Linked DNA regions of Callithrix jacchus. The protein of the gene in region 6 purifies or fractionates together with the protein of the main gene of each other region. This does not show direct contact. Links are inferred from orthologs where the notes say so. Each region holds a gene or a part of one and is shown on either strand. Other genes may lie near its edges. The genes, in order: PELI2, TOLLIP, IRAK3, STIP1, PELI3, IRAK1 and MAP3K7.

Region 1 (4,101 bases), on a different chromosome or scaffold from region 6:
CTCTGTATTTGACAAGCAAAAGCTTATATGAATATCAAGTATTAGGCATCTTTAGATCTCAGGAATCATCTTACTATTCAGAAAATCTTGAAATTTTCTGTTTTCCAATATTAATATCCCAGAGGACATAAAGATAATATCATAAAGGTGATATTAATTCTATGTGAATGTTATTGTTGTTTTAAGATTGAAGTACACGGTCTCAAGTCCTAAGGGTGGAATATGAATAAGGTTCTTTAAAAAATCTATCAAGTCACTCTTTCACCTGCACTCTTCAATGTGTTCAACATTGCTAAAGAGTCAGAAACCTACTCTCAAAAAAAGAAAACCACCACAATTCAAGTATTCAAAAGCCAGACTAGCATCCTCTACTCACATTTCACATCCTCAGAGAGAACTTCTCTGACCTTCCAGAAGAAAAAAGTAATACTCACCTAAGCAGTCAGTCTCCAAGTCTATCAACTCCTCTTTAGAACTTGGCTACACCTGAAATCGTCACTTATTACTCATCTAGTTGCATGTTTCTGTTTATGCCTGCCATTCCACACTAATATGAAAGCTCCCTGTTCTCACTGCATCAGCAATGCCTCAACAGCACAAACACAGAGTAGATACACAAATGACAGCTGAGTGTCTTGCCCACTAAGTGCCAACTATGCCATACTTCGGTCTCCTGGAAAAGCATTAGCAAAGGGCAGAGCATATGCAACTCCAACGTGATTTCCACAAGCTCCTGTGGAATAAGACTATGATACCACGACAATCCAGTGTTTAAATCCTTTCCGTGGCTTCGGAATGCCCTGCACTTCCAGCTATGAACACAAAACCTCTCCCGGCCCTCTCACTGCTTTTCTGAAACATCTCAACCATGATTTCCTCTAAAGGAAATAATGAAATAAAGTCCTGGCTGACGTTAATCTTCTGCGTCAAGTTCACAGTGTTAAACATACTTTGAAGGCAGCCACACAAACAAAACCAAACTCCACAAAATTAGGTTGGGCTGAAGTTACATAAGACAGACTAAACTGTGGCTTTTCTACTGTCATTCCTCCTGCCTTCCAAGGAACCCTGAGATTTGTCTCTGAAGTGCAGTGAAGATGCAGGTTAGAAAAACACTTATCTGCAAACAGCTTCAAAATAGGTAATGGGATTTCCAATACCACCCCACTTAATGCACTAGCAACAAAGTCAGGAAGACTGGGAGGCTTTGAGCTGCGCGGGGTCTGGAATTTTCTCTTAAAAACTCCTCTCTTTAAAATTATTTTTAAGTCAGCACTGACTTCAAGGCACTCACTTATCAAAACACGTTTTGCAAAGTTCCGAGTCCTCCCACAGTCATGAGTCCTCATCTGTGTGCTAAGCCTACCTATCAGCGCCCAGGATGTTCTGAATACAGGTCTTTTAACGCAGGAGGACAAAAGCGCGGGTTTCCAGGAGCGACACATCCAAAGGGAAAAAAATAATCCTTTCTTCAACACTAAACCCAAGTTGCTCGTTCCCTCCTACCCAGTTTCCTGCACTTCCCCCCTCCTCTTCCCCTTTCACTGCCCACTTTACCCAGCTTTAATCCCGCGAAGCCTCTCTCCTGGCTTATTAAGGGTAAACAATAGAAATGTCACAAGGAAACTCAGCAAGTAGATGAAGTCTCTAATTGCTGCCGTTTAACGATTGTACATAATTACTATCTTCAAAATGCGGCTTTCACCAGCGGAGAGGGAGCCGAGGCGTGCGAGGCTGGCGAGCTCCTCGCCGCCGGGAGGGCATCGGCGAAGCCGGGGGGATGCGGCCCGCGCCCGGGTGCCAGGCCCCGAGCAGCCGCATCCTGGCCCCTCCCCTCCAGGCACTCCGGCAGGGAGAAACGGAGGGCCCGCCGGCTGGCCCGGGTCACACACAGTTCACCGCCCTCAGGCTACCGCGGCCAGCCGAACAATTTGCAGAGCGCAGCCGGGAATCCCACAACCCGCGGCGGCCCAAGCTCACGGAGCCGCGCTCGGAGTTCGGAGGCGCGGTAGCCACGGTCCGCGAGGGAGGTGGGAAGACCGGGCTCCGGGCCGGCCGGCTTCTCGGCTTCGGGAAGCGACCCTGCGAAGTGCCTGCGACGGCTGCGCCTCACCCCGGGTCCTTGCCCGCTCTCCCCAGCCCGGACGCGGAGCGCGGGAAGTGGAGCCCCTGCCCGCCCCCGCCACGGTACGGCCGCGGACCGGGTGCTCGGCGCTGCCCGGGGTCGCCCGAGTCCCGGCCACCACTTCCCCCGCCGCGTCCTCCCCGCGGACAGTGCAGCCCGGCACCCGCCGCAGCGCCCCGAGCGCGCGCCGAAGGGGGGCATCCCACCCCCGCGCCGCCGTCCGGGCCCTGCGAGCCGCTCCCGCCGACCCGAGCGCCCCAGCGGTCCCCGGATAGCGCCGAGCCACCCGCCAGCCCCGCTCAAGGATGCAGGCGCTCCCCGCCCGCCCCCCTGCCTGGGACCAGGGACCCCAGGACTCACCCCAGCACCACCAGCTCCCCGTATTTCACTGGCTCCTTGTTGGGGGCGCAATGCTCCTCCTGGCCAGGGGAAAACATGGAGCCCCGCTCGGCCGCGGACGCCGCCGCCTCCGCCGCGATCCCCGCCGAGTCCGCGCCGCCGCTACAATCCCATCCCGAGAACGGGGTGAGCGCGCCGGGGAAGGGCACCGCGGCAAAGGGGGCGCGGGGCGGCCAGTCCCGCGGCTGCTCCGTCTTGGCTGCGCGGCTGCCCCGCCTGACTTCCCGGAGCTCCGCGCGCCGCGGCCGCCCGGAGTCAGAGCCGGCAACAAATGGGACCAGGCAGCAGGGGGACCTGCCCGCGCCGAGCTCCGCCGCCGAAGCCCCGCGGGAGGGAGGGAAGGGAAGGAGGAGGGAGGCGGCGCACGAGGGGCGGGGGCCGCGCGGGGGAGGCGGGGGCCGGAGCGCGGGCAGGTGGGAGCCGCCCCGCCCCACGTGGAGCCAGTCGCCCGCCCCGGGCCCGCGGGGCCCCCCTCCCCTGGCGCGTGGGGCCGCCCGCGCCCACTCCCCGCCCCCCTCAGCCCGGCGGAGGCTTGGCCCCCGTGTTATGTAAACATAGAGTAAAAGGGAAAGGAAGTTCTTAAAGGAGCAGCTCTATTTTTTTTTCCTCACTTCCTTCCCCAAACTTAGAACGCGGGGTCCTCAGCCCTCGCCGCCGGCCTCTTGAGCCGCGAAGGCCCGCGGGAGATACTGGAAGCGAGCGGCCGCGGGTCCCAAGCCAGCGTTTTCCCGGCTGGAGTTCGACGGGATTAACTTCCTCTCCCGGTAGAAGAGCGCTTTCTCGATGTCGCTGGTTCCCGGCTCTCGTCTGGAAGTGTCGCACACACCCACCTGAGTGCCTCCCCTTCCAGAACCAAATCCTTTGAAGCAGGAAGGCGTCTAGGAAATTAGAGGGTTTTGCCAGTTGGTGCTGGAGCAGAGGACGTTTCGAAGGCGCTTGGAGTACCCCACCGTTGCAACGAATGTAGCTGCCCCAGGTCGTCGTCAGCAGAGCTCCACATGGCTTTGGGGGTGGAAGAGTTGTTTTTTAATCCTCACTCCATTCACTTTCCCTGTGCCTTCTTTCAGTCCCCTAAGACGTTTAAGGGGAAATTGCCTGGGTGGATTTTTTAGTGAATATAAATGTTCCTTTATGACCATGATTTAATCAATGCACTGTTTGCTTTCTGTTCTTTTTAAACTAGTTATTGTTATGGCTTTAAAATACTGTAGACTGTAATAGTTTTACTGACTGCTGTTTTTCATCATACAGGATTTTACTGTTCTAACATGTATTAAGCACTCATAATGTGCCGGAAACACTACATGTTACGGAGAATCACTGCCTCTCAGACTGTTAAATATTTAAGGAAATAAATGCTGCAAAAGCTACCATATGTATAGTGACTGGTTGGCTATGACCCGAAGTGAAGAGCTAGAAAAAATGATAATTGCATCTGTAACCGTGCTTTCCGCTGTGCTGCACCCCTTGTGTAACATTCTCTGACAGGTTATTACGGTAGTGACATGATGTTTCTGGTAATTTTACTTCAGTTAGGGACTGATTTTTTTAAATTGAGACTTTAGAAATAAATTATT
Region 2 (3,500 bases), on a different chromosome or scaffold from region 6:
GAGGCAGGGGGACGACAAGGAAGGCATGATCAACCTCGTCATGTCCTACGCGGTGAGCTGGGGGCTGGCATTAGGGCGAGTGCGTCGGGCAGGGCGGAGCATTTCGGGGCATGTTGGGGCACATGGGGGCCATGCTGCACAGCGGATGCCCTTGTTTTTTTCCTGCAGGCGCCAAGCCTGTAAACCAGCAGGGCTAGCATTTTGAGGACAGAGGGCAGGGGCCCTGGGGTGGTTTGGTGGCCAAGAAGGGCTGCCCTGCCCACCATGCCTGCGCATGTGTTCCATCTGGAAAAAGAGGGTTGGGGTTGTTTGGTGGTCTCCCCTGCAGGCCCGGGTCCTCGGAGGCCCCCCACAGCCCTGCCAAGCCCTGCCCTTAGAGTCCAGCTGGGCAGCCCTCCAGGGTCTGAGATACAGCCGTGGGCCCTACAGGTTTCGAGGCGCCGGCCAGGACCTGGCAGGGTGTCTCAGTGGAGATGGGTGGGGGGAGTCCGGGGCCTGCTGCCCTCGGGGTCGGAAATCGAGGCCTGGCCATGCCAGGCAGTGGGGCCAGCACACTAGCCACCCTGGCTCCCAGCTGTCTCTGTTCTCAGCACACCTGCAGCTCCTGGGGGCATCAGGAGGGTCAGTTAGAGGATCCTGGACTTGGGGCTCTGCCGCCACCTCTGTATTCTCACACGGGTTTTTAGGTTGTGGTTGTTGGGATGTGGTGCTGTGGTAAACATCAGGCGGATGTGGGCAGAGGCACAGCAGGGAGAGGCTCTTCTGGGCAGTCTGGGCTCCTCCCACCCCCTTTTTGTTAATGCCGGGATATTTTAAAGCAAGTCCAGCCATGAGTGACCCCTCGTAAATGTCTCATGATGCGTCTTTTAATAGACACTTTTATACAAACATAAAACATCATGGCTCTCCAGGGACTTATCTGCAGTTCACATTTGAACTAAACTCAGAGGTGACAGCAGCCCAGTGTGCTTCCCCCAGGCCGACCTGACGCCTGCACTGGGTGTCCCTCCTGACGCCGCACACTCTCGGTCACATCCCAGTTAGCCGGGGGTGGGGGGTGTCTGTGAGTCTCACCGTGTGATGTCACCTCCCGGATGGGAGGAGGTGGAGTGGGGGCCAGGTGTCCCTGAGGACTGTGCACCCAGGTCTCACATCTGGCCTGAGGGCTGGCACGGCGACGGTGATTCTGGAAGTCACGAGGTTCTGATGTGTGTGGTGTGTTGTGTCCTGACCCCGGAACCGTCTCCGCTGTGTTTCAGCTGTTGCCAGCTGCCATGGTGATGCCGCCCCAGCCCGTGGTCCTGATGCCAACGGTGTACCAGCAGGGCGTCGGCTACGTGCCCATCACAGGTGCGTGTGCTCCCTCTTCCCTAGGTGCCTCTCCCCTGAGAAATTCTGGGGGCAGAGGGCGGGCGCAGGAGGAGGGAAGGGGGTTGAGAACTCTAGAATCCTGCAGACATGCTGACTGTCCGCAGACCCTTCAGCCAAGGAGCCAGGCGCTGGATATCTAGAAAATAGAATCTGTCTTTTCATGCAGGTCCTTCAGGCCAGGGAGCCAGGGGTTAACGTCTGAATTTTGTAAATGTTTATAGAAAATAGAATTGGTCTTTTCCTGTTGGCACAAATGCGTTGAAATTGTCAGAGCTGCGGAAAGGTGACTTTGCAGCCCCGTAGTGCCAGCGCTCTGCAGGAGAAACTCACGCTCCTGTCGGGTGACATGTGCCACGCACTGCGCCGTTGCATGCTTCGTCGCTGTTAGGAGTGAGCAGCCGCAGCAGCACCAAGCTGGGATGTCGCTTTTCATGCTGTTGCGTTTTCAGTCCTGCTGTGGCTGTCGCAGCAGCTGGTGCAAGGCCGGCCCCCACTATGGACGGGCCCAGTTCTCCTCAGTAGGCGGGGAGGCCACATCCCCTGAGAGGAGGTACTTGGTGGGGAGCCTGTGGTCATCCTGGTTCTCCTGCTTCGGTGGCCTCTGTCTTGGTCCAGGGAGCTGGTGTCCAAGCAGAGCACTAGTCCCTCTGCAGTGAGGCATGGAGTCCAGAGGCCAAGGCCATGGAAGTGCCAGGTTTCAGGCAGGGCGTTGGGGATGTGTGGTGGTGTGGGGGAGGGGCAGGGCGTTGGGCATGCGTGGTGGTGTGGGGGAGGGTCTTGGGGCCTGCGTGGGGCCCCAGCTCCCTGTGCTGAGGGGCTGCTTTGGGGTCAGGGCGGGATGAGGGGCTTGCAGGCCAGAGTGCCGGGAAGCCGGCGCTGATGTCCAGCCCTGCTGGAGCGGAGACGCCTGGTCCACACCCCAGTCCCGCAGGCATCCCGCACAGATGCAGAAAGGCCACCCTGGGAGTTGGGACCTGGCCTTAGACCCACCCCAACGTGGCGGGAAATGCAGCCGGACTGTGGGAAGGAGGGCACGGCACTGGGAGACTCAGGCTGTCGAGCATTAGGGATGTTCTCGGTCGTTGGGTACCAGCCCCAGCCCTGTACATGGTGCTTAGTTCCGGTGGTGACCGGGGGGTGAGAAGAAATACACAAAGGCGAGAGTCGAGTTTCACAGCCTGGGTCCAGGGGACCAGCGCAGTGGTGGGTGGCTTTGGCTGTGAGCTCCAGGCTCCACACACTTTTATTAGGTGCATTGTTTCATTAATCTTGCAGGCTGAGCTGAGGGGAGGTGAGGGGTAAACCAAAAGCTAATGTGGGGTAAGACAGCCGGGGGACCGTGCAGCATCCAACAGCACATGTGCTGCTTCTAAGAAACACTAACTTAGGATGCGGAGTTTTGCCACCCATGGTTATCAAGGTGCATCTGCATCGGAGCACAGGAGATGAGGCGCCGCCAGGCCTGACCACACGCAGTGCATCAAGGGGCTTCATCTCCCGAGCATGGCCAGCCCAGAGCTATCAGAGTCACTCCATACTCCGAGAACCTAGGTGGAGCCTGTGGCACTCCGGTTATCTCTGCCCTGCAGGGCCTTCCTGCCTTGCAAGCTCCTATCTGCAGTGACCCTCCCAAGTCTTGTGTATGGAGGTGGCATTCCTTCCCAGAGTTCTTGGACAGGCCCTCTTTACGAGACCCTCACGCAGACCCTGTGTTGGGAAGAAATCGTGGGAGCAAAGCGGCATTCCTGCCTCGCACCCACACCGCGGCGTTCCCCGGTTTTAGAGCTCTCACGTGGCCTCTACTGTCGGCCTCCTGTTACTGCTTAGTTTTTCTTCGTACAGGCCTGAAACAGTTTTTATTGTGCTGCACCATAGTTTGGAGTTTTCTTAACTCAGTATTTGATCCGTGGCACGAATCTCAGTGTATAAAAAGCAAAGCAAGCTTGTAATCATTTACCTAGAATAACGTGGGTCTGCCCCTGCCATCTTGGCCCACACTGTGATGAAACTGCTGGTGAGAACCACATGGCCTCGTCCTCCTTGCTCACATCTGCAGACCCTGCTTCCAAGTAAAGCTGCCTGCAGGTGCCAGGGCTGCCTTTCTCGAGAGGAAGAGCAGAGCCCGTGTC
Region 3 (4,005 bases), on a different chromosome or scaffold from region 6:
CTCCTGGGGCTTGACAAAAAATGAAAGATGCTAGACCCTCAACCCAGACTTACCGAATCAGCAGCTCTAGGAGTGGGACCTGAGCATCTGTGTATTTAAAAGACTACATAGGTGATTTGGGTTTGTGAATGATTGGCTTACCTTATCCTGCACACACTGATCATATCATATAGGTTGCTGTATGAGCTGCCTTTGTAAATACAGCCTGATATTCACCATCGTCAAGAATCATGATCGGCTCAAGAGAGCTTTACTTAGTACCATGACAGTTGTTTTCTATATTTAAACGTGGGCTCTCAGTTGTCCTGAGCATACAAGGGTCTGCCTCTTTGATTCAGTGCTCCATCACTCTCCTTCCCCTAGCAAAGGTCAAGTTTTCCCTACTTGCACCTCTTGCCCTCTTTCTCCCTTCACTGTGCCCATAGGAAAACTCAGCATGTTTAGCACACACAGTTGCCTCAACACCCTGAACTGGGCTAGCCTTGACTTCTTGCTGAGCCAACAACTGTGAAGCACACGGTCAGGGCCAGCTTAGTCCAGGTGGTCACTAGGCATGACCACCTGCACAATGAATTACAGCTGAAGTGTCATGGAGTAAACATTTTAAACCCTTTCCCTGTGAGAAAATGACACAAAGGGACAATGGTCAGCTTATATATAAAAATAGAACTCTGAAGACAATGTGCATCAACCCGTCCAAGAAGCCAACCTACCGTCTACGGTATCCACCAAGTTCAACTGTCAGCAATTGTAAACCGTAGCAACTAGCCCAGGCAGCCAAACACAAACCCCTGTAGCGACCTGCCCCAAATGGCCAGGACTTGATTAATTACTGACAGCTTCCTCAATTTTTGCTGCTACTTCCAACTTAGGGCCAACCAGAGAAAGCCAATTATCTACTCCTAAACAAACACAAAGAATGCTCCCCTTTTGGGTAGCTCAGCTACAGCTTCCCCATATCAACAGCCTCCAATCAGGACATAGCTGAAGGCTTCTCCCACCCTCCTCCATCCTTTGCCTGCTTTTGAGTCTCTGCCAAACTCAAGTAATGGTGGCTGACTGCCTTGCTTTGAATAAACAACTTTTGTTTGTTCTCATTTGGGTGGTCCTCATTTATTTTCACCACTAGGAAAATGGGACTGAATTACTGAAATGGCTCACTGAATTATTCTTTGATGCCAGAAATGTCTGTACTTTAGGGAGGTACAGACAAAAAGAGCAAAGCAATAAGGGGAGAAGTGCAGAGTGGCTGGGGTGAAGGACATAAGCCTTGGATCCAGACTGCCTTGGTCCAGATCTTGGCTTTCCACTTCCAGCTGGTGAACTTGAACAAGTTATTTAACCAATTTGTACCACAGTTTCCTGATCTGTTAAAAAACAAAAACAAAAAAACACTGGAGATGATAATGACTCACAGCGTGATTGGAGGGGTTATATGAGATAAACCGTGTAAAGTATGAATATCTGGATTTCAATGCTATCAACAGAGATGAGATAAAGAGAGAGAGAATGAATAATCTGCCCCACTAATTTATGATACCCACCCCTCAAAATCCCTCAAATGCACACTGGGAATCTGTTTTCCAGAAATCAGAGGACACTCTTCTGAGACTTTTTTTTTTTTTTTGCTTAAGGGCTATACCTTAAAATTACAGAGCTTAAAATATACAAACATCTTTTGTATAACTAGACGCCCATTGCTACAATTCAAAGACTGTGAGCATACTCTTCATCAGTAACAAAGAAAACTCTCCTCTTAGGTCTTCTGCTATTGCTTTAAGAAAAATCCTATTTCGGACCATTAAAGCTATTTTGACATAATCATGATTCTTTTCAATAAACATTAAAAGTGACATTGTGGAATGTCAAATCTAACCAAAAATACCTACTTAACAAAACAAAGATTTTGTCTGAATTATCTCTGGCTACACTCAACACTTCCAGCCGGCAGTTGCTAAACTTTCCAAAGTGTGCATGAAACACAGTTTTGAAGCCAATGTTTTAGATTAAAATAAAAAGCCGCTCTCTAGCATAAACCTTCATTCCACAAATTGGGTAAATAAACAAGATAGATTTAATTAAGAAAACTAGGAGCCACGTTCACTGCAAATCGTATTTTACTTTAGCATTTCACTTGCAATTAAGTTAGGGGCTTAGGGATGCATTGAAAACACCAAAGGAATAAATATCTGAAAGTTCTAAAAACGTCTCAATACGAAAATCATACTCTGGGGCGATTTTGCAAGGACCAGAAGACATCACACATTGCGAACCCAGTGAGGGAGGCATCTCGGACGAACAGAAGATGCGTTTATGCGGGTTATCCGCCTTTCCCAGGCCTCGGCTCCCTTGACATTGCAGCGATACCCAAAACTCTTCAAAAGAAAAGGGAGGGCCAGCATCTGGGTCTCAGGGAGTCTCTGCGCCCTCCCCGGAAAAGGAGGGGGCCGGCTCCCCGGTGGGAACCTCCCGGAGGCCGCGCCAACCTCGCGAGCGACCCGAGCCTTTCAGGGCGGCACCGAGCCGGCCCCGCGGCGCTGTGGGCTCCCTCGCCGCTCCCGGCCGGCCCCCGCCGACTCACCCAGACCGCGCCAGCCCAGCGCGCCGTCGCAGCTGTCCAGGACCGCACACAGCTCCCCCAGCAGCGCGGGCGGCAGGTCGAACAGCAGCGTGTGCGCCGACAGCGCGCGGCGGGCCCCGCAGTTCCCCGCCATGGCTCGGCGGCCGGAGCCCCGGGGACTAGGTGGAGCACAGGCTCCTGCACGCCCGCGACCGGCGCTTACACAACCGCGGAAATCCTGCTTCCACGACGGCGGCGGAGCCCTTGGAACACGCCGTGCTTCGACCCCGCGCAGGGCGGTGCCGACGTGACGCAAGGCGCGCCTCGCCCGAGATACCCCTGGGGTTGCCCGGCCGGGCCTGGGAGCTCCCCGACCCGAGCTCTCCCTTAGCTGGCTTTGCGCCCCTTCTCGCCTCTGCGGTGGGTACAGGGCTGCAGAGAGCAGCCCAGTGAGGGCTGGAGAAAGCCCAGAGCTCAGAGCTCTAGGGAGCCCACAGGGCCCCATGGGGGCAGTCTCCTCGCGTGGACGGCCAGAGGTGTCATCGCTTCTTTCAAAATTTTATTTTTGAAAGTTTCTCCATGCCTTCTTTCCTTCCTGTATTTTCTTCCTTTTTTCTCTGTTTTGAGTCAGGGTCATGCTCTGTTGCCAGACAGTGGCACAATGATGAGATCTCAGCTCACTGGAGCCTCCACCTCCTGGGCTCAAGCGATCCTCCCACCTCAGCCTCCGGAGTAGCTGGGATCACAGGCGCGGGCCACTACGGCCGAATAATTATTATTTGTCTTTTTTCATAGAGAGGGAGTCTCCATACGTTGCCCAGCATGGTTTCGAACTCCTGGCCTCAAGCTATGCTCCCACCTTGGGCCTCCTAAAGTCCTGCGTTTGGGGGCGTTAGCTACTGAGCCCGGCCTATTTCCTTTTTATTCTGTCAGAAAAGCGATCCATGTTCATCAAGGAACACTTGGAAAACCCGGAAAAAAACTGAAAAAAGAAGATAATCACTCACAACCCCACTCAGCCCATGACACTCTAAAAGTGTGTCACATTTTCCTCCCAACTTTTACTGCATTGAAACAGATCAAAATGTGCATATATGGAATTATTAGAAAAGATGAACGTAGATACCAACAACAGAAAAACAGAAGAGACACCAAATCAGAGTAAAATTATGTTCGTTTTCCTCACGAGGTGGCCCCTCCTCCATACACCTACTTGGTTTTAAGAAATTCTTTTCCTCGTGGGCCTCCCTGATGAAACATTGTTCCATCATTTATCCTTCCTCAAAGTGCTTCACAGAATCTTCCTTCTTACCTTCAACATAGAGTGTAAGTAAAATTGTTTTGAAATTATCTAGGTCAGGTAAGGCATATTCCCTCCCCTCCACTCTTCTTCCCTCCCCTCCCCTCCTTTCCACTCCTCCTTTCCTCACTCTTTCACCCAGGCT
Region 4 (3,500 bases), on a different chromosome or scaffold from region 6:
ACTACAGCACGGGCGACGAGAGCGAGACTCCATCCCAAAAAAAAAAAAGAAAGGTCAAATTCATCATTAAATAAATAAAACAGTAAGAAACAACAGCTTAATTATTAGGAAACACCCCTATTCTTTTCCTACCCACCTGCTGGCATTTCTTGAGCACATCTGGGGTTCGGTGCTCTGCCAGAGACTTGTTATAGAAATGGATGGCATCCTTGTACTTTTCTTCTTTGAAGTAGGAGTTGCCAATTCGAGCATAAGCTCTGATAAAGAAAACAGGGACAAGTATTGCTTAGGACAAAGAGATAAGGTCAGCTCCTGCAGAGAAAACACACCTGCAACTAGAAAGGCCCGCAGCACTGCCTTTCAACACCTTTTGTCTTGGCTCCGGTGACCTTCTTGCCAGCCCTTTCTTAACACAGCAGATTTTATAGCCAGGAGCCCTCCTCCCCATGCAGGGAAACTGAAGTCTTGGACAGCAAACCCTCCGTGCTACTCAAGGTATTCTGGAAGGTTGAGCATACTTGGCAATCTGTCGATAGTCTTCTCGGTTTTCTCTCCCCACTTCAATGGCCTTCTCACAAAGCTCCCGACACTTATCGTAGTCACCCTTTTCAAAGTATACCGCTGTCAGGCAGGATGGTTAAAAAGGAACAGTCAGTCCTTGCTCCTTCCCTCAGAGACACCCAACAACTTCCCTGCCCCTTGTTTTAGGCCTCACCTGCTTGATTGGTAATGTAAGTCATGTTGGTAGGGTCCAGCTCCTTTGCTTTGTCGTAATGCTTCAAGGCTGTGTCAAAGTCTTTCTTCTTGTAGGCATCGTTCCCCAGCTCTTTTTCTTTCAGTGCCTACGTGAAGTTTAGAAGAAGTGAGTGCTGAGCAAATCTAACTCTGGTGACAAAGACAGCAAGAATCTCTGATCTGTCACAAGTTCTAAAATACAATTAATATATATAGAATTCTAGCAAGTTCTCCAGAAGACCTCTTCATCAGTTATAGACAATAGCCATTTATCAGCCATTAGAATGACACCTTCGTCTTTGCTTGCTCTGAAACTCCCCCTTTCCCACCTACTATCCTGGATCTTTGTCAGGAAGCAGAGGGCTTCTTTAGGGGAGAAGAAATCCCTTCAACTTAAAGCAACTGGTGAGGACAGTACAGTTTTGGACCAGGCTTTATTCTGAGAGGCTGCAGCAGATCTCGTTTTGGTTGTATGGCTGCCTCAGGGTCTTAGCTTCAGTGAACCACAGCAGAGGGGGTGGTGAGAAGATGGGGAGAAGGGGATGAGTGGCACGAGTCTTCAGCAGAACTCACTACCGCCCACACTGGAGGGCCTTTTTCCAGCCGAGACACCCTGAACAACCAACACTCACCCATTTCAAGGTGCTAAATTTAGCAACAATCTGCTGCTCCAGTTTACAAGGAGGAAAATGAAATTGTTGAGGCACATGCCTTCTGCTCCAGGAGTGCTGCTTAGCGGACACTTGCAACCACACGCCACGTCCAGCCAGGAAGTGAATGCTGAGGGACTGATGTGGACAATGCTCTTCTGGATCATGGCAAGGACCTGAATTGCTCACAACTTTCCAGTCCTGCTCTGACCAACATTCACACACTGGCAGCGTTGCTGTCTTCGCTATATGTTACTCCTAGGAAATCTCTTGGGAAGTTGATTTTTTTTTTTTTTTGAGACGGAGTCCTATTCTTTTGCCCAGTCTGGAGTGCAGTGACACAATCTTGGCTCACTGCAACCTCCGCCTCCCGGGTTCAAGCAGTTCCTCTGCCTCAGCCTCCCAAGTACCTGGGACTACAGGCGCACGCCACAACACTCGGCTAATGTATTTTTAGTAGAGACAGGGTTTCCCTATGTTGGCCAGGCTGGTCTTGAACTCCAGACCTCAGGTGATCCACCCACCTCAGCCTCCCAAAGTGCTGAGATTATAGGTGTGAGCCACTGTGCCCAGCCTGAAGCTGATCTTTTAACATGCTGACCATTCTAATGAATAATAGCCATAAGCTTAGCATATACTAAAGTACTCAAAATAGTTACAGCTGGGCACACTGGCTCATGACTGTAATCCTAGCTGAAAAGCAGAAGCGCTGTGTTTCCCAGGAGTTCAAGACCAACCTGGGAAACATAGTGAGACCTCTAAAATAATAATAATAATATTAATACTCATGGTCATTCAAGGTCAACAGATGTTCCCATTTAACATAAAGATTTCTAGTTGTTCATAAATGTATGACCGTGAGGAGGCAAACAACGAGACCTGCTTCTTATTCTCTGGAAGATCTTCTTCCATTGGCTCTGGCTTGGTCTCCTTTTTGGGAGGTGGTGGTGGCGGAGGTGTTGCAACCTCTTCCTCCTCATCCATACTGCCCAGATCAACCCCAAGGAGGACACTGAGAGTGGTCATGATCCGGGGATCTTGTAGTTTCCTAGTATTGATTTAAAAAAAGAAAGAAATATTGCAATTACTCCTCCCCACAATCAGTGTTTAACTCCTACAGTATCAAAGTCAGATCTAGATTTGGCGCCACTCATGAGCTACAACTAGCGGATATGCAAACCTTCAAAACACCATCCATCTAAAATAAAGTCAAAAAAATAAAAAATAAAATGAAGTCACAGATGGCCGGGCACAGTGGCTCACAGCTTTTCGGAGCCCCAGGCAGGCGGACCACTTGAGGTCTGAAGTTGGAGATCAGCCTAGCCAACTTGGTGAAACCCCGTTTCTACTAAAAATACAAAAATTAGCTGGATGTGGTGGTGTGTACCTGTAATCCCAGCTACTAGGGAGGCTGAGGCAGGAGAATCGCTTGAACCCAGGAGGTGGAGATTGCAGTGAACCGAGATCATGCCACTGCACTCCAGCCTGGGTGACAGAGTGAGACTCCATCTCAAAAAAAAAAAAAAAAAAAAGAAATGAAGTAACAGAGGTCAAGTTTATTCCTCAAGGCTGGCAGACACAGAGGAATGAGTTGTTACAGGTATACTTCCCTAGCTGATCTCAGGGGCCAGATGACTGAGATAGAGACGGATACCATTTACAAGACTTAGACACAGCTTTACAGATGAACTGCAACCCTGTTTCCACTCCCATATACCAATAGAGACAGCAGGACCTAAGTAGATGGAAAGGATGGGGTTGATGCTAGATCAGAGTTCTAGGAGACCAGGCAAGAGGTGTATCTGGACTACAAGGAACATTCTAGATTACAGTGATATGTGCTCCCCCGACCCCTTCTATAATTACAAATAAACAATCACCCCCTACTGCTCTGCAGAGAATAAGCAAAGGCAGGAACTCTGCCATTCAGACCAGGGAACCCTCTGCCGTGAAGTTACAGGAAGACAACCTAACATTCCCCCCATTGCCAGAACCTCAATGAGAGGCATCCACTTACGTGCCCAGATCAGAAGGCTTATTTCGCAGCTGCTCTACCAGCTCCCGGTAGGTGGGATCACTGAGCAGTGTCCTTGTCCTGGGATCATTCTCCAACTT
Region 5 (3,500 bases), on a different chromosome or scaffold from region 6:
CTCCTTAGGCCCTCTAGGTTCCCAGATGGGTCTCCAAGTACAAGAAGCCATGGCCTGGAGCTTCTCCTCCTCTGTTGCCCCCAGCGCTGGGGATCACCCCACTCAATAAATACCGGTTGATTTGCCAACAGGATAATAATTAATAATAATATAATAATAATATCTGCTGCTCAAATGTTAGCAGCAGATAGTGAATTCTGAGTAACTATTTGCCATAGGCCAGCCACCATGCTAAGCATTTTATGTGCAATGCCTAAGTTAATCTTCCCGTGGGGTGGGTACTATTAAGGGCGTCATTTTACAGATGAGTAAACCAAGGCCCAGAGAACTTCAGTGACAATAGGTGGGCAAGGTGGCTCATGCCTGTAATTCTAACACTTTGGGAGGCCAAGGCGGGTGGATCACCTGAGGTCAGGAGATCAAGGCCAACATGGCGAAACCCTGTCTCCACTAAAAATTCAAAAACTAGCCAGGCGTGGTGGCGCATGCCTATAATCCCAGCTACTCAGGAGGCTGAGGAAGGAGAATCACTTCAACCCAGGGAGCAGAGGTTGCAGTGAGCCAAGAGTCCGCCACTGTACTCCAGTCTGTGTGATGAGAGCAAGACTCCATCTCAAAAAAAAGAAAAATGAACTTAAGTGATGGAGCCAAAATCTGAACCACACATTAGCCTCTCACACCTGAACTCCTGAGCTATGTGACCTCCCACAGTCTGGGAGTCTTGAGTTTGAGCCCTGATACAGCCGCTGACTTGCTGTATGACTCTGCAGTCAGCAGCCCACACTGGGACATCCTGCTTCCTCGTCTGAAGAGAAGCAACTTCCCCATGGCCTCCCATACTGTAGCCTCACCTGAGATGCTTGCAGAGCCTAGAGGCCTGGTGGCCAGGAGGTGTGTGGAGAGGCCTGAGCATACCTGGAACATGTCTGTGTCACTATCATGTGTATACTCCACTATGACTGAGTGGCTCCGGGACAGTGTGTACGAGATGCTGTGCTGGCCACGGTTACTCAGTGCCTGAGGGGAGAAAAAAGTCACTTGCCAGGGTGTGCAGCCATGATAAGGGTATGCCTCGAGCCGGCAGCTGGAGCTCAAGGCCCAGCAGCCACTCCCTGGGAAGTGGGCAGCTCCATCCTTTGCAGAGGGTGGACAGTGCAGTGGCTGTTTCATGTGATTTAAACCCTACAGTCACCCTAAGAATTTCAAAGTAATTGCCTCCTCCAAACTACCTGAGGCTGCTGGGATACCAGGGAGCAGTGGCACAGTCAGAGGGTCAGGATATTCAGTGGTGCCAGAGGATGGACCACAAATGGGGTTACCAGTCTGGGCATGGTGGCTCACACCTGTAATCCCACCACTTCGGGAGGCCCAGGTGGGCAGGTCACTTGAGGTCAGGAGTTCAAGACCAGTCTGGCCAACATAGCGAAACCCTGTCTCTACTAAAATATAAAAATTAGCCAGGTGTGGTGGTGCCCAGCTACTCAGGAGGCTGAGGCGGGTTGAACCCAGGAAGTGAAGGTTGCAGTGAGCCGAGATCACACCACTGGACTCCAGCCTGGGTGACAGAGCGAGACTCTGTCTCAAAAACAAAAAAGAATGGGGTTATTGTTCCCATTTCACAGTTGAAGGAACTACAGGTCAGAGAGAAACTAGCCTAAAGGCACACAGCTGGAAATATCAGAGGCTGAATTCTAACCCAAATCCTCTAAAGCCAAATGTTTTTCCTTTACCATTGCAGTGTGACTGTCGCCTCCCACTCTCTGAACCTTAGCTGCCTCTAAAATGGTGCAGCTCATTTCCATCCATTTCCATTTCCACTGGATGGAAAGAAGCAGCATCGTCTTAGAGGTAGCCAAGGTTCAGAGGGGTCCAGTGGTCAAGGAAGCATTTTGCAAACTGTAAAGAACTATGCACACTGCAAAGGATTTCTCATCACCATTCTCGGCTAGCCCAATAAGCAGTGAGTGATGACACAAAGTAGGCTCCCCTGTTGCAGTGGGGGGCTGTGGGCAGGTAGGACTGAGAATGCCAAAGACCTGGGCCTTGGGCGGGACCGGCTCAGGTCTATGGGTCAGTTGCTTGCCTTGGAGACGAGCGGCGTGGAGATATGGTGCATGACGTCCGGCTTCACTCCGTTGGCATGCGGCCGGCGGCTCAGTGCCAGGCGGCTTCGCCGGCGGCCCTTGTCCCCACTTGCCAGACATCCATTGTAGCTATAGATGTGGGGAGTTAAGAAGAAAGGGTTGTAAGAGGAGAGAGAGAAAGAGGGAAGGTGAACCCCTGATGAGACCTGGAGGAAACTGCCAACTTCTGGGGAGATCCTACGTTAATAAACAAGCTCTAGAAGCCCCACAATAACAAACTGGTGCACTGGGGAGTGGGCGGGGGGTGTCAGAACAGTTTCAAACGCACTTTCATTCAGTTAACCAAGTGTTTCCTGGACACTCAAGCCATGCCTGGTTCGGTGCTGTGCATGGGGGCAGTAGAGCACCACGGGGTCAGTTGTGGGCCCTCAGTGGAGAGGTTCCTCAGCTTCTCCAGGAACCTAAGTGCCACCTGCCACACCCAGACACAAGCCAAGGATGCCATAAGCCTAGAAGAAGAAAAGGGAATTCTGGCTCTAGGATCAGGTTTCTGGGAGAGGAAACACCTCTACTGGGTCTTGAAGAACTAGAAAGGGTTCACCTGTAGCAAACTGTCACTTCTCACACCACTACTAGGAAGCAAAATCAAAGGAAAAAATGACCCACAATGCCACTACCTCCATATGTCTATATATGTCAAATTTCCACCTGCCTTTCCAGTTCTTGTCTGGAAGGGACGGCTGTGAGAGGCACAGAGTGGGTGAGTCACAGCTCTCATTGCTGCCATGGGCTGCTGCCCCCGTGTTCCTGGCCTTCATGTTATCAGTCACCTAATGGCATCTGTGCAGTGGCCTGCCAGGCAAGCGGCTTTCTGCCCATCTTACACATGAGAGAAATCAAGGCTCAGGTAGATAAAGTGACTTGCCTCAGGCTAGTAGGTAAACATGTCCAGATTTGAGCCTGGTCTGTCCCACTCCAGACTTGCAGAAGCCCCTCTAGATGGAGGCTCACCCTAAGCAAAGGCCCCAAGGCTGTCAGGGTCTAATGAGATTGGGGAATGGTGACGTTGGTGAAGTGTGGTGGGGAGATGGCTCTGAACTCCAGGCTGAGGACGTTATTCTGTAAGCAGTGGAGAGCCAGGAAGGTCTGGGAACAGGAGGTGACAGGACAAATAGCTGCCAAATACAGACAAGGCTGCTGGAATCAGAATCTTCCAGAGAGTTTGCTAAAATCCAGATGAGGTCGGGTGCGGTGGCCCATATCTGTAATCCCAGCACTCTGGCGGACCAAGGCGGGCAGATTGCCTGCAGTCAGGAGTTTGAGACCAGCCTGGCCAACATGGTAAAACCCCATCTCTACCAAAAATACAAACATTAGCCAGGAGTGGTGGGTGCCTGAAATCCCAGCTACTCAGGA
Region 6 (4,300 bases):
GTTCTTGATCCCAACCATCCTTCTGCCTGTCACTGTGCAGCCTGGAATGAGCCACTTGACTCTCTAGGCCTGTCTCCTCCTGGGAGACAAGGAGCAAAATCTCCATGACTTGCACTTCTTAAGCACGTGCAGACTAAGCCACCCTGGCTGCTTGGCAAAGCACTCAAGGCCGGGCAGTGGCTAGGGACATGTTCTTGGCATTCGAGATAGAATCTGCTGGGCTGTGGCTCCCAGGACTCATCCCTTTGTCCCTGGGTGATTGGGAAGTCCTCGAAGGCATCTCCCCACTCTCCCCAAACACAGCAAGCTGGAAGAGGCAAGGGGGCTCTCCCCTCTGTGTGCCCGCAGGGCCCTCCCTCAGCAGTGGGGGGTCCAGCTGACAGCCCCAGCCCCCTTGCCTCTGGGGCTTACCAACGAGACCCTCAGGCTGCCCTGCTTGCGAACTCGAGAGACCTGGGAAAGAGTTCTATAGAAAACGGTAGTCCCAGCCAGGCAAGGTGGCTCACGCGTGTAATCCCAGCACGTTGGGAGGCTGAGGCAGGTGGACTACCTGAGGTCAGGAGTTGAAGACCAGCCTGGCCAACATGGCAAAACTCTGTCTCTACTAAAAATACAAAAATTAGCCAGGCATGGTGGTGCGTGCCTGTAGTCCTAGCTACTTGGGAGACTGAGGTAGGAGGATTGATTGAACCCGGGAGATGGAGGTTGTAGTGAGCTGAGATCGCGCCACTGCACTCCAGCCTGGGCGACAGAGTGAGACTCTGTCTCCAAAACAAGAGAAAAAGTGACCCTGCTGTGGGGAGCTGGCAGTGCAGGCCCGGCCTGCTGGAGGACCCGCTCACACAAACAAAAAGCCCCAGGCCCTGTGCCCAGCTCCAGCCAGGTGTCAGGAGTGCTTCAGGTCCTGGGAAGCGCACCAGGCCCAGGGAGCCGACCTGGCAGTGGAGACGGTCCTCCAGGGAGCCGTTGGGCAGGAAGCCATACACCAGGCAGTAGAAGCCATTCTGAGCACAGTAGCCGGCAAAGTCCACAATGTTCGGGTGACGAAACCTGTTTGAAGAAGAGGAGCCTTACGGAAGATGCCAGACCGGGCAGCCCCGCATGGGGCCTCAGGCGCCCAAGGGAGCAAGGTGCTGTGATGTGCAGTCTGGAGCCCCACAGGACCTGGTGCGGCTCCTGATCTGGCCTCACCTGGACAGCTGCTCCACCTCAGTCAGGAAGCTCTGCTTCACCGCACTCCACTCCAGGCCTGCATCCTGCAGCCCCCAGGGTGCGGTGGGGGAGGGGCAGGGAAGACGGGTGGCGTGAGGCTAAGTGAAGGCCTTTGGGCCTCCAATGCCACTTGCCCCAGGCCCAGAACATCGGAGGGGCTAGGGACCCTGTGCTGGAATGAGGGCTGAAAGGACCTGTGGCGAGGCCAGGGGAAAGGCTGGAGAAGTCAGTGAGGGTTGTCTGATGGCCTTCCAGGGTCCCTGCCAGGGTGCGACACTCACCTCCTTCAGCCTCTTCACAGCATACACTGTGTTCCTCATCACCGCCCGGTACACGCACCCAAAGCCACCCTCCCCGATCTTGAGCTCCTCTGAGAAGTCGTGGGTGCCCTGGGATATCTCACAGAGAGGCCAGCAGAATGGAGAGGGGTGGGCTCCCTGCAGGAGGGACACTGAGCTCTCTGAGCTCTCTGGCTGTGGGAAGAGAGCCTGGATCAGGTAGGGTCCCTGTATCCTCCCTTCTGCCCAAGGCTGCAGGCTCTCCCCACCACGGCTGCCTCCCAGCTGACCCAGCTTGGCTGACTGGGGCTGCGGTGTGCCAAAGGCTGAGTTTCTTCCTCCTTGCCTCGAATCTTCCCTGGAGGGCAGGGGACACCTACCTTGGTAGAGGAAGGGGCTGGAGATGGCAGTGGAGACCGCAGGGAAGCAGGGCTGGGGACCAGGCCGAGTTCAGGCCCTGAATGGGTTTGGGAACCTGGAAAAGCTTCATAAAGACACCAGTGAGAGGCAGGCAGAGAGCAGCAGCGGGGTCTACAGCCGTGGCAGTCAAGGTGGGCCCTTCTTCGGGTCCATCGAGTCCAACAACCTGGCCCTCTTACCTGGGGAGAGGAGGGTGGAGGCTGAGGACGGCAACTTCCGGGGACTACAGGCCTCTGTCTCGGCGGGTGCAGGGATGCAGCTGGGCCTCGGGGCAGTGGTGCTTGGGGATGGAAGCGGGGCGGGAGGGTGCCCTGCGACGCCAAGTTAGGAAAGGAACGTTGAGGCCCGGGTGGGGCAGCCCCGTGGGAATCGCCGGTCCCCCAGCCGTGGGGTGCCCGGAGTCCCGCGCTCACAGGCTGTGATGATGTCCCGCGCGCGGAGCAGCTGCAGGTGCGTGAGGATGTGCACGAGGTCGGCCACACGGGCGTTGCGGTTGATCCAGGGCCACAGGACGCTGGCCGTGCGCTGCCCGGAGCGCTCGCACAGCCGCAGCTCGGTCTGGTCGCGCACGATCAGGGCGGCTGCGGGGCGGGGGGCGTCAGGCGTCGGCGCCGGGAGCCCGCGCGCCCCCCGCTCCCCGCGGCCGCCCGCGGCCACCCACCGAACTGGCACCAGTCGGCGGGCTCCAGGGCGTCCATCACTTTGTAGAAGCGGCACATGACCCAGGGCGGCACCTCGTACAAGAAGTGCTGGGCGCCGGGGGCTGCGGGCTCTCCCGGGCCCGGCCCCCCGGCCATGGCCGCCGCCGCCGCCGGGCCGGGGCCTGTCGGGGCCTCTCAGGGCCGCGGCAGGCGCGGGCCTGGGCCGGCCGGGTCCGCGGACACTGACTCACTTCCCCTTCGAGCCGGCCTCGTGGGACGCCCGGCGGGGCGGAAGAGGCGGTGCCCGGGCCCGCCGCCATCTTGCACGCTGCGGCCGCTCGCTCGACCACACGGGGGCGCCCCGCACCGGAGAGGGCCCCCCCGCGCCGGAGAGGGCCCAGGTCCCAGCGCGTTCCACGCGCGGCGATCGGCGCGAGGCCGGGCGCGCCCGGGCGGGGCTCTGGAGGACAAACGGCGGCTTCTGGCCACACGTTGCTGCCCTGTCCCTCATTTGCAAGGGTGAGCGCAAGCAGCTGTGGTGAAGGTTTCCTGGGCATCGTCCTCGAGGACCTGTCTAGACTGCCACCCCCCGGTCTCCACAAGCAGAAAGGCAGACTTTACTCTTGTTTCTGCAGCTGGATGTCTCCTCCAGCGACAGTTCCTGTTGCCGTCTTGATCTTGACAGCGAAGGGGTTCCCCACCCCTAGCCTTACACACTTAGAACTTTTCCTAGAAACGAAGTCTGCCCAAGGCCCACAGCTGGCCCCTGTTGGAGTCTTCCCAAAAGCCACCACCATGGTGGCCCCACTCAAGATGACAACCATACCCTAAACCCCGTGGCTTCTCATTGGGGACAGGCTTTATGAGATGCAGCAAATCAAGTATCTGAACTGACCACGCACACCCATGCTAACCTCCACGGAGGGACTTGGTCTTACACACGAAGGCCCGTCAGCTCCTGGAACAGGACTGGCGCACAAGATGCTCAATGCATACAAGTTGAATGTTCAACTCTGGGATCTACTGTTCAAGGCCAGGCCTTCAGAGGGTACCTTCTGGTAGGTGTGCCCACATGTGCATGTGAATCTGGACTCTGAGCAGTTGTCTCCTCCAGCCCCTTACCAACCTAGTGAGGCCACTCCTGAGAGCCAAGGAAGCCAGTGACAAGGAGGCCCCTTTGGGCAATCCCCTCAGCCTGGCCTTGCCTGGTCAGAGAACCAGGTTAGCAGTCAGCGGAGGGCATGTGAGGGTCTTGGCAGGAATGACACAGGAGGAGCTACCACCTGTGGGGTACGTATGTCCAAAAGCACCACAGCACATTCAGACCTAGGGGTGCCCCTACCATATGGGTCAAGAGCAGGGAGGTCGTGCTGCAGGCTGACTCATGCTAGGCCCTTCCCGTCACACGCTGCAGCAGTGTGCCTGGAAAGCACTGGTGTGGAAGAAGTTGAGGGGCCGAGAGGCCAGCATATGAAGCAGGGTCCCTCGGCCTCTCATGGCAGGCCTGAAGGCAGTTATCTGTGTCCAGGGACGGCCAGATCCAATGAGGAAATGCAGCATCACACTGTCATGTGAGCTGGAGGGGGACTTCTGTCTTATAATGAAAGCCCAGACCTTGAGTCACTTTCACAGAGAGATTTATCGAGAATGCTAACAGCACAGGATACAGTACTTCCCAACAAAAGGTGCAAACGCGTCACTTAGAAAGGCATGCTGAGTATTCTTTGCTTTCACATGTATTAAAAATCT
Region 7 (4,015 bases), on a different chromosome or scaffold from region 6:
ACTACTGAGTTACAATATTAGAAATGCAAGATCAGCTGATGTCTTAGAAATATGTATCAATTAAAGGACTGCATATTCAGCCTGTGATTGAGTTTTTTTTTTAACTTTCTAGTTATATTGATATAATACAATTCAATTATATTGAGAAATACAAAATATGATTTTCTTAATTTAGAAGGTAATATTCTTATACAACATAAAATACTGAAAGCAACATAAAATAGTTTTTGTTTCTGACTATCTTCCTCTGTTATTTTACTCACAATTTTACTGGAAGTGTAATCTAAGTTGACAAAGAGCTAATAAGGGTCCATGGTTCACCCTGGATTGTATAACATTGCTTTAATATGTGCAAATGAAGATGATGGAAATTATGTAATGCTTTCAATATCAGAAATGTCTAAATTCAACCTTCTATGCAAAAATGAACAGAGTATTAAAAATGAAAAGGAATAAAACAAAAAACCCAAATAACTGACTACCATTAGAAAAAAATTTTCATCTATAAACAAAAACCTACTCCTTAGAAATGTCCTACATACACACACACCCCCACATACACACAAAGGTTGAAACATTATTTAAACTGAGAGAAGGGTCTTGGAAACACACAAACCTAACAAGAAGTGAAACAGCTTTAGGGAAAAGCATCAAAATGATAACTACCTCCTTAGAACTTGTTTTTCCGTGAATCAAGAATGCAAAAAGCCTTAAAAAGTAGCAAACAGAAACTAAGGTTTTAAGAACCAAATGAAATGTTTGTGAAAGCATTTAGTAGACCATAAAGCACAAGTTATTATTATATAACAATTTGTAGTCTACAAGCACAGCAAGCAATTCACCACAGAGCAGACGCAAACACTTATTTAAAAACTGCAATTCTTGTATACTGACTCACTGAATTTTTATTCTTAAAAAAGAATATTAGCCATGAAAGCTGGATCAACTATCCACTTCTGGAAAAGGAATTTATCATAGCCTTAACGCAAAAAAAAATACACTAAAAACATTTCTCCCTTTTTTCAGGTCTTCTTTTAGCTATTTGACCTTAAAGCAGGTCACATTTCCTCTCTGGAACTAGGTTTCCTAATATGTGTCAGGCCCTGTGGTAGGTGTTTTGCATATAATGTCTAAGACTATGATGTGTTATGCAGATAAAATCAAACAGAATTTATTATCTCTTTCTTACAGTAAACTAAAATTTAAAGGGGTTGGGAAACTTGCCCCAAATCACACAGCTAATAAATGGCGTATCTGATACACTGAACTTTCCTCTAACTCCAAACACCTTGCTCTTCCCATCATATTATCTTGTAAAATAAGGATGTTCTCAATGAATCTTTAAAGTTACTTTATGTGATAAAAATACATATAATCCAGTAATCCACTACTCTTCCAAAACATGCACAGGAAAAAAAATTTATTTGTTGAACGTTATCTTACTACTTTGAACTTGCTGATACTTAAAAATAATTTTATAATTTTAAAGTAGACACAACTTGTTGACAATCTATAATATTTCACTAGGTTTTTCATGGTATATAAAACGCAAAGTGCTTAAAAATTTTTTAAAAAGGCAAATAAAAGGTAAGAGCTGATATTTTAAACCGAAGTTTTTAACAAATTCTAGAGTGTCTTTAAAATATATATACGCAGTTTTTACTTTTCTAAATTTGATAGTCATTAGAACCCAATTACCTCTCTGTTAATTTGAAAAGAAGCAATGCTTTAAAGTCACATTGAAATAACAGGTTCTAAAATAAATTACTGCAGAATAAAGAGGATATGGGTTTTCTGATAGCGATTTCTAGTCTAATGTTAATATTCTGATTGTCACTGTAATCATTCGTTCTCTTCAGAGTATGCTACTTGAAACATATTTTGATCGTAGACCAGTCTATGTTACTTATGGTGAAATTTACCTACATTAACCCAACTGGAAGCCGAGCATTTAAATCGGAGAAATTGAGAACCATTCGGTGCCAAGGGAAACACTTTATTAGACTTGACGATCTATTAATTTAAGAAGCATTTATTGAGCATCCCCTACATGCCAGGCATTGAGGTAGAAGTCGAACATCATACAATCTTTGACCATTCAGAACATTACGGCCAGCGAACTGAAACTCCAGAACGGCTACGATCTTCGCTGAAACTACTACTTACAGATACGAGAACTGGTGGACCACAATATCTCACCAGTTCATTCTCCTGTTTATCACCGGGATATCAAATCCAAAATCAAGAGTGCCCAAGTGAGGGAAAAAAAGCTACTCCCGAACAGTTGAGCTCAGAGAGTAACTCCTACTCCCGCGTCACTGAGGGATGTGGGGTCTCCCGGGTGGACCCACTAGGGTCCAGCGAATTAGAGGGGTCGGGGAGACACCTTCAAAGCCAGGACCTCTGGGGCACAGGCAGAGGAGGGGTCGGGGCGGGCCGGGACCGGCGTCTACATGCCGGGCCTCGCTCACCTCTTCCACCTCGATTTCCTTGTAGTCTATCTCTTCAAAGTTGAGGACCTGAGAAGGGGCTTCGATCATCTCACCGGCCGAAGACGAGGAGGAGGAGGAGGCGGCTGAGGCTGTAGACATGATCCCTCGCGGCGCCCGGGTGGCCCGGGAACGGTGCCGCCCGGACAGTCCGGGTGAGACCCGCGCCCACCCGCCTCCGGACCGACCTTCAGCCTGGAGCCGCGCACTCCTACCACCCGTCGGTCCGTGGCGGGTGTAGGGGCAGCGGCCACAGCCGTGTCCCGGCTCTGGCTCCGCTGCGTTTTCCGCTGCCGGGCCCCGCCCACTATACTTCCGGTTCCGGGCTGAAATCGGAAACAGGAAGCGGGCCGTAAACTCTGGGGGAGGAGATGGGAGGGGAAATTTTTTTGACTTGGAAAGTAAAGGAGGGACACGTTGGGGGTGGGGTAGAGTAAGCTAAGAAGCAAGCTTGGACCTCTAGAACAAATTTCGCGAGACCTTTATTACAGGGCCTCAGCAACCGGATGATAACGCGAGAGCTGATGCCTAACGTAATTAAAGTGCGCGAGCGGAAGTGGCGCGGAACGTGACGGAAAATCAGTACGGTTGGTCCTTTAAGGACCAGCGGGAAAGATGAAAGATGGGGTTTCGTCTCTGCTGCGTGAAATATGTTTTGGCCTCACTGCGTCTCCTTTTAGCTGCCTGCAGACAGGCAAGATGGTATTGAAATGTGTTTTTGTGACGAAGCTTACCTTTAAGTTTCAGCCCTAAACTAAGTTGACCTGTTTCTTTAAGACAGCTTACGAAATGTATTTTCCTCAGTGTGGGATATGGAACGAAGCAGTTGCACCTGTTACTTTGAGCTCGTCCCTGACACTATGAGAGATTCTAAAAGAGCGAATCAGCTTATGCAACATGAATAACTGTGGAGGTTGAGTGCTCATGAACAGAAGTTAATATTTTGGTGTTACAACTTTATATGGAGGAGATGATTAAGAGACATAATTTGGCGTATTCATCTCAAGTTATGGATTACGAGTGCAGGGCACTGTTGCTTTAGATTGGTAAATGAATCATCAACAGTCGTCTTGAAAATCAAATTTTTACATCTCCATTTTCAGGACTTGAGAAAATAGGCTCAGACTTTAAAGCAATTATGGTCCTCTGAAACTAGATCAATCTTGTCCCCAAAATGGGCAGCATTGCCTATATTGTACTATCAGCACAAGTTTTAGTTTTAAACTAACTGTTGAACTCTATTTAGTCCGTTTGACATAAAGCCTAACCGTGGAAAATTGGAGTTAGAAATGAAAATGTAAAGACCAAGGATGGATTCACGCTAATGTCAAATTCTAAGTTTCAGTAAGAGACTGAAAGAGGGAAGTGAGGAAAATAGTAATTGGAATGTCACCAGAGGAAAGCTCTCCAATGAAGAAGTAGCCAACCAAGTATATGCTGTATAAAAAAGAATTATGTTAAACACAATTGGGATTGCAAATAGGTCATTGGATTTGACCATCAAGAAGTTACCAACTCCTGGGAAA

Evidence for each region.
Region 1: the proteins of IRAK1 (region 6) and PELI2 purify together in Homo sapiens (affinity purification with western blotting; 7 studies listed by BioGRID and IntAct, with this or other methods). This does not show direct contact. The link is inferred for Callithrix jacchus from reciprocal best matches to the Homo sapiens genes IRAK1 and PELI2.
Region 2: the proteins of IRAK1 (region 6) and TOLLIP purify together in Homo sapiens (affinity purification with western blotting; 11 studies listed by BioGRID and IntAct, with this or other methods). This does not show direct contact. The link is inferred for Callithrix jacchus from reciprocal best matches to the Homo sapiens genes IRAK1 and TOLLIP.
Region 3: the proteins of IRAK1 (region 6) and IRAK3 purify together in Homo sapiens (co-immunoprecipitation; 3 studies listed by BioGRID and IntAct, with this or other methods). This does not show direct contact. The link is inferred for Callithrix jacchus from reciprocal best matches to the Homo sapiens genes IRAK1 and IRAK3.
Region 4: the proteins of IRAK1 (region 6) and STIP1 purify together in Homo sapiens (affinity purification with mass spectrometry; 3 studies listed by BioGRID and IntAct, with this or other methods). This does not show direct contact. The link is inferred for Callithrix jacchus from reciprocal best matches to the Homo sapiens genes IRAK1 and STIP1.
Region 5: the proteins of IRAK1 (region 6) and PELI3 purify together in Homo sapiens (affinity purification with western blotting; 7 studies listed by BioGRID and IntAct, with this or other methods). This does not show direct contact. The link is inferred for Callithrix jacchus from reciprocal best matches to the Homo sapiens genes IRAK1 and PELI3.
Region 7: the proteins of IRAK1 (region 6) and MAP3K7 purify together in Homo sapiens (affinity purification with western blotting; 5 studies listed by BioGRID). This does not show direct contact. The link is inferred for Callithrix jacchus from reciprocal best matches to the Homo sapiens genes IRAK1 and MAP3K7.

What each region holds. Positions count from the first base shown.
Region 1 is NC_133509.1:90,773,546-90,777,646, reverse strand, and holds the start of PELI2 (E3 ubiquitin-protein ligase pellino homolog 2), read right to left. Parts: upstream 2,801-4,101; 5' UTR 2,563-2,800; coding exon 2,486-2,562; intron 1-2,485. UniProt on the Homo sapiens protein: E3 ubiquitin ligase catalyzing the covalent attachment of ubiquitin moieties onto substrate proteins. Involved in the TLR and IL-1 signaling pathways via interaction with the complex containing IRAK kinases and TRAF6.
Region 2 is NC_133511.1:130,617,602-130,621,101, forward strand, and holds part of TOLLIP (toll-interacting protein), read left to right. Parts: coding exon 1-52; intron 53-1,259; coding exon 1,260-1,350; intron 1,351-3,500. UniProt on the Homo sapiens protein: Component of the signaling pathway of IL-1 and Toll-like receptors. Inhibits cell activation by microbial products. Recruits IRAK1 to the IL-1 receptor complex. Inhibits IRAK1 phosphorylation and kinase activity.
Region 3 is NC_133510.1:53,021,873-53,025,877, forward strand, and holds the start of IRAK3 (interleukin-1 receptor-associated kinase 3), read right to left. Parts: upstream 2,801-4,005; 5' UTR 2,715-2,800; coding exon 2,582-2,714; intron 1-2,581. UniProt on the Homo sapiens protein: Putative inactive protein kinase which regulates signaling downstream of immune receptors including IL1R and Toll-like receptors.
Region 4 is NC_133511.1:121,249,283-121,252,782, reverse strand, and holds part of STIP1 (stress-induced-phosphoprotein 1), read right to left. Parts: coding exon 3,403-3,500; intron 2,434-3,402; coding exon 2,265-2,433; intron 843-2,264; coding exon 716-842; intron 622-715; coding exon 519-621; intron 258-518; coding exon 137-257; intron 1-136. UniProt on the Homo sapiens protein: Acts as a co-chaperone for HSP90AA1. Mediates the association of the molecular chaperones HSPA8/HSC70 and HSP90.
Region 5 is NC_133511.1:123,543,589-123,547,088, reverse strand, and holds part of PELI3 (E3 ubiquitin-protein ligase pellino homolog 3), read right to left. Parts: intron 2,214-3,500; coding exon 2,084-2,213; intron 1,018-2,083; coding exon 916-1,017; intron 1-915. UniProt on the Homo sapiens protein: E3 ubiquitin ligase catalyzing the covalent attachment of ubiquitin moieties onto substrate proteins. Involved in the TLR and IL-1 signaling pathways via interaction with the complex containing IRAK kinases and TRAF6.
Region 6 is NC_133524.1:149,931,840-149,936,139, forward strand, and holds the start of IRAK1 (interleukin-1 receptor-associated kinase 1), read right to left. Parts: upstream 2,801-4,300; 5' UTR 2,708-2,800; coding exon 2,572-2,707; intron 2,492-2,571; coding exon 2,324-2,491; intron 2,222-2,323; coding exon 2,090-2,221; intron 1,975-2,089; coding exon 1,871-1,974; intron 1,686-1,870; coding exon 1,494-1,685; intron 1,257-1,493; coding exon 1,192-1,256; intron 1,051-1,191; coding exon 936-1,050; intron 1-935.
Region 7 is NC_133505.1:96,667,375-96,671,389, forward strand, and holds the start of MAP3K7 (mitogen-activated protein kinase kinase kinase 7), read right to left. Parts: upstream 2,801-4,015; 5' UTR 2,592-2,800; coding exon 2,472-2,591; intron 1-2,471. UniProt on the Homo sapiens protein: Serine/threonine kinase which acts as an essential component of the MAP kinase signal transduction pathway. Plays an important role in the cascades of cellular responses evoked by changes in the environment.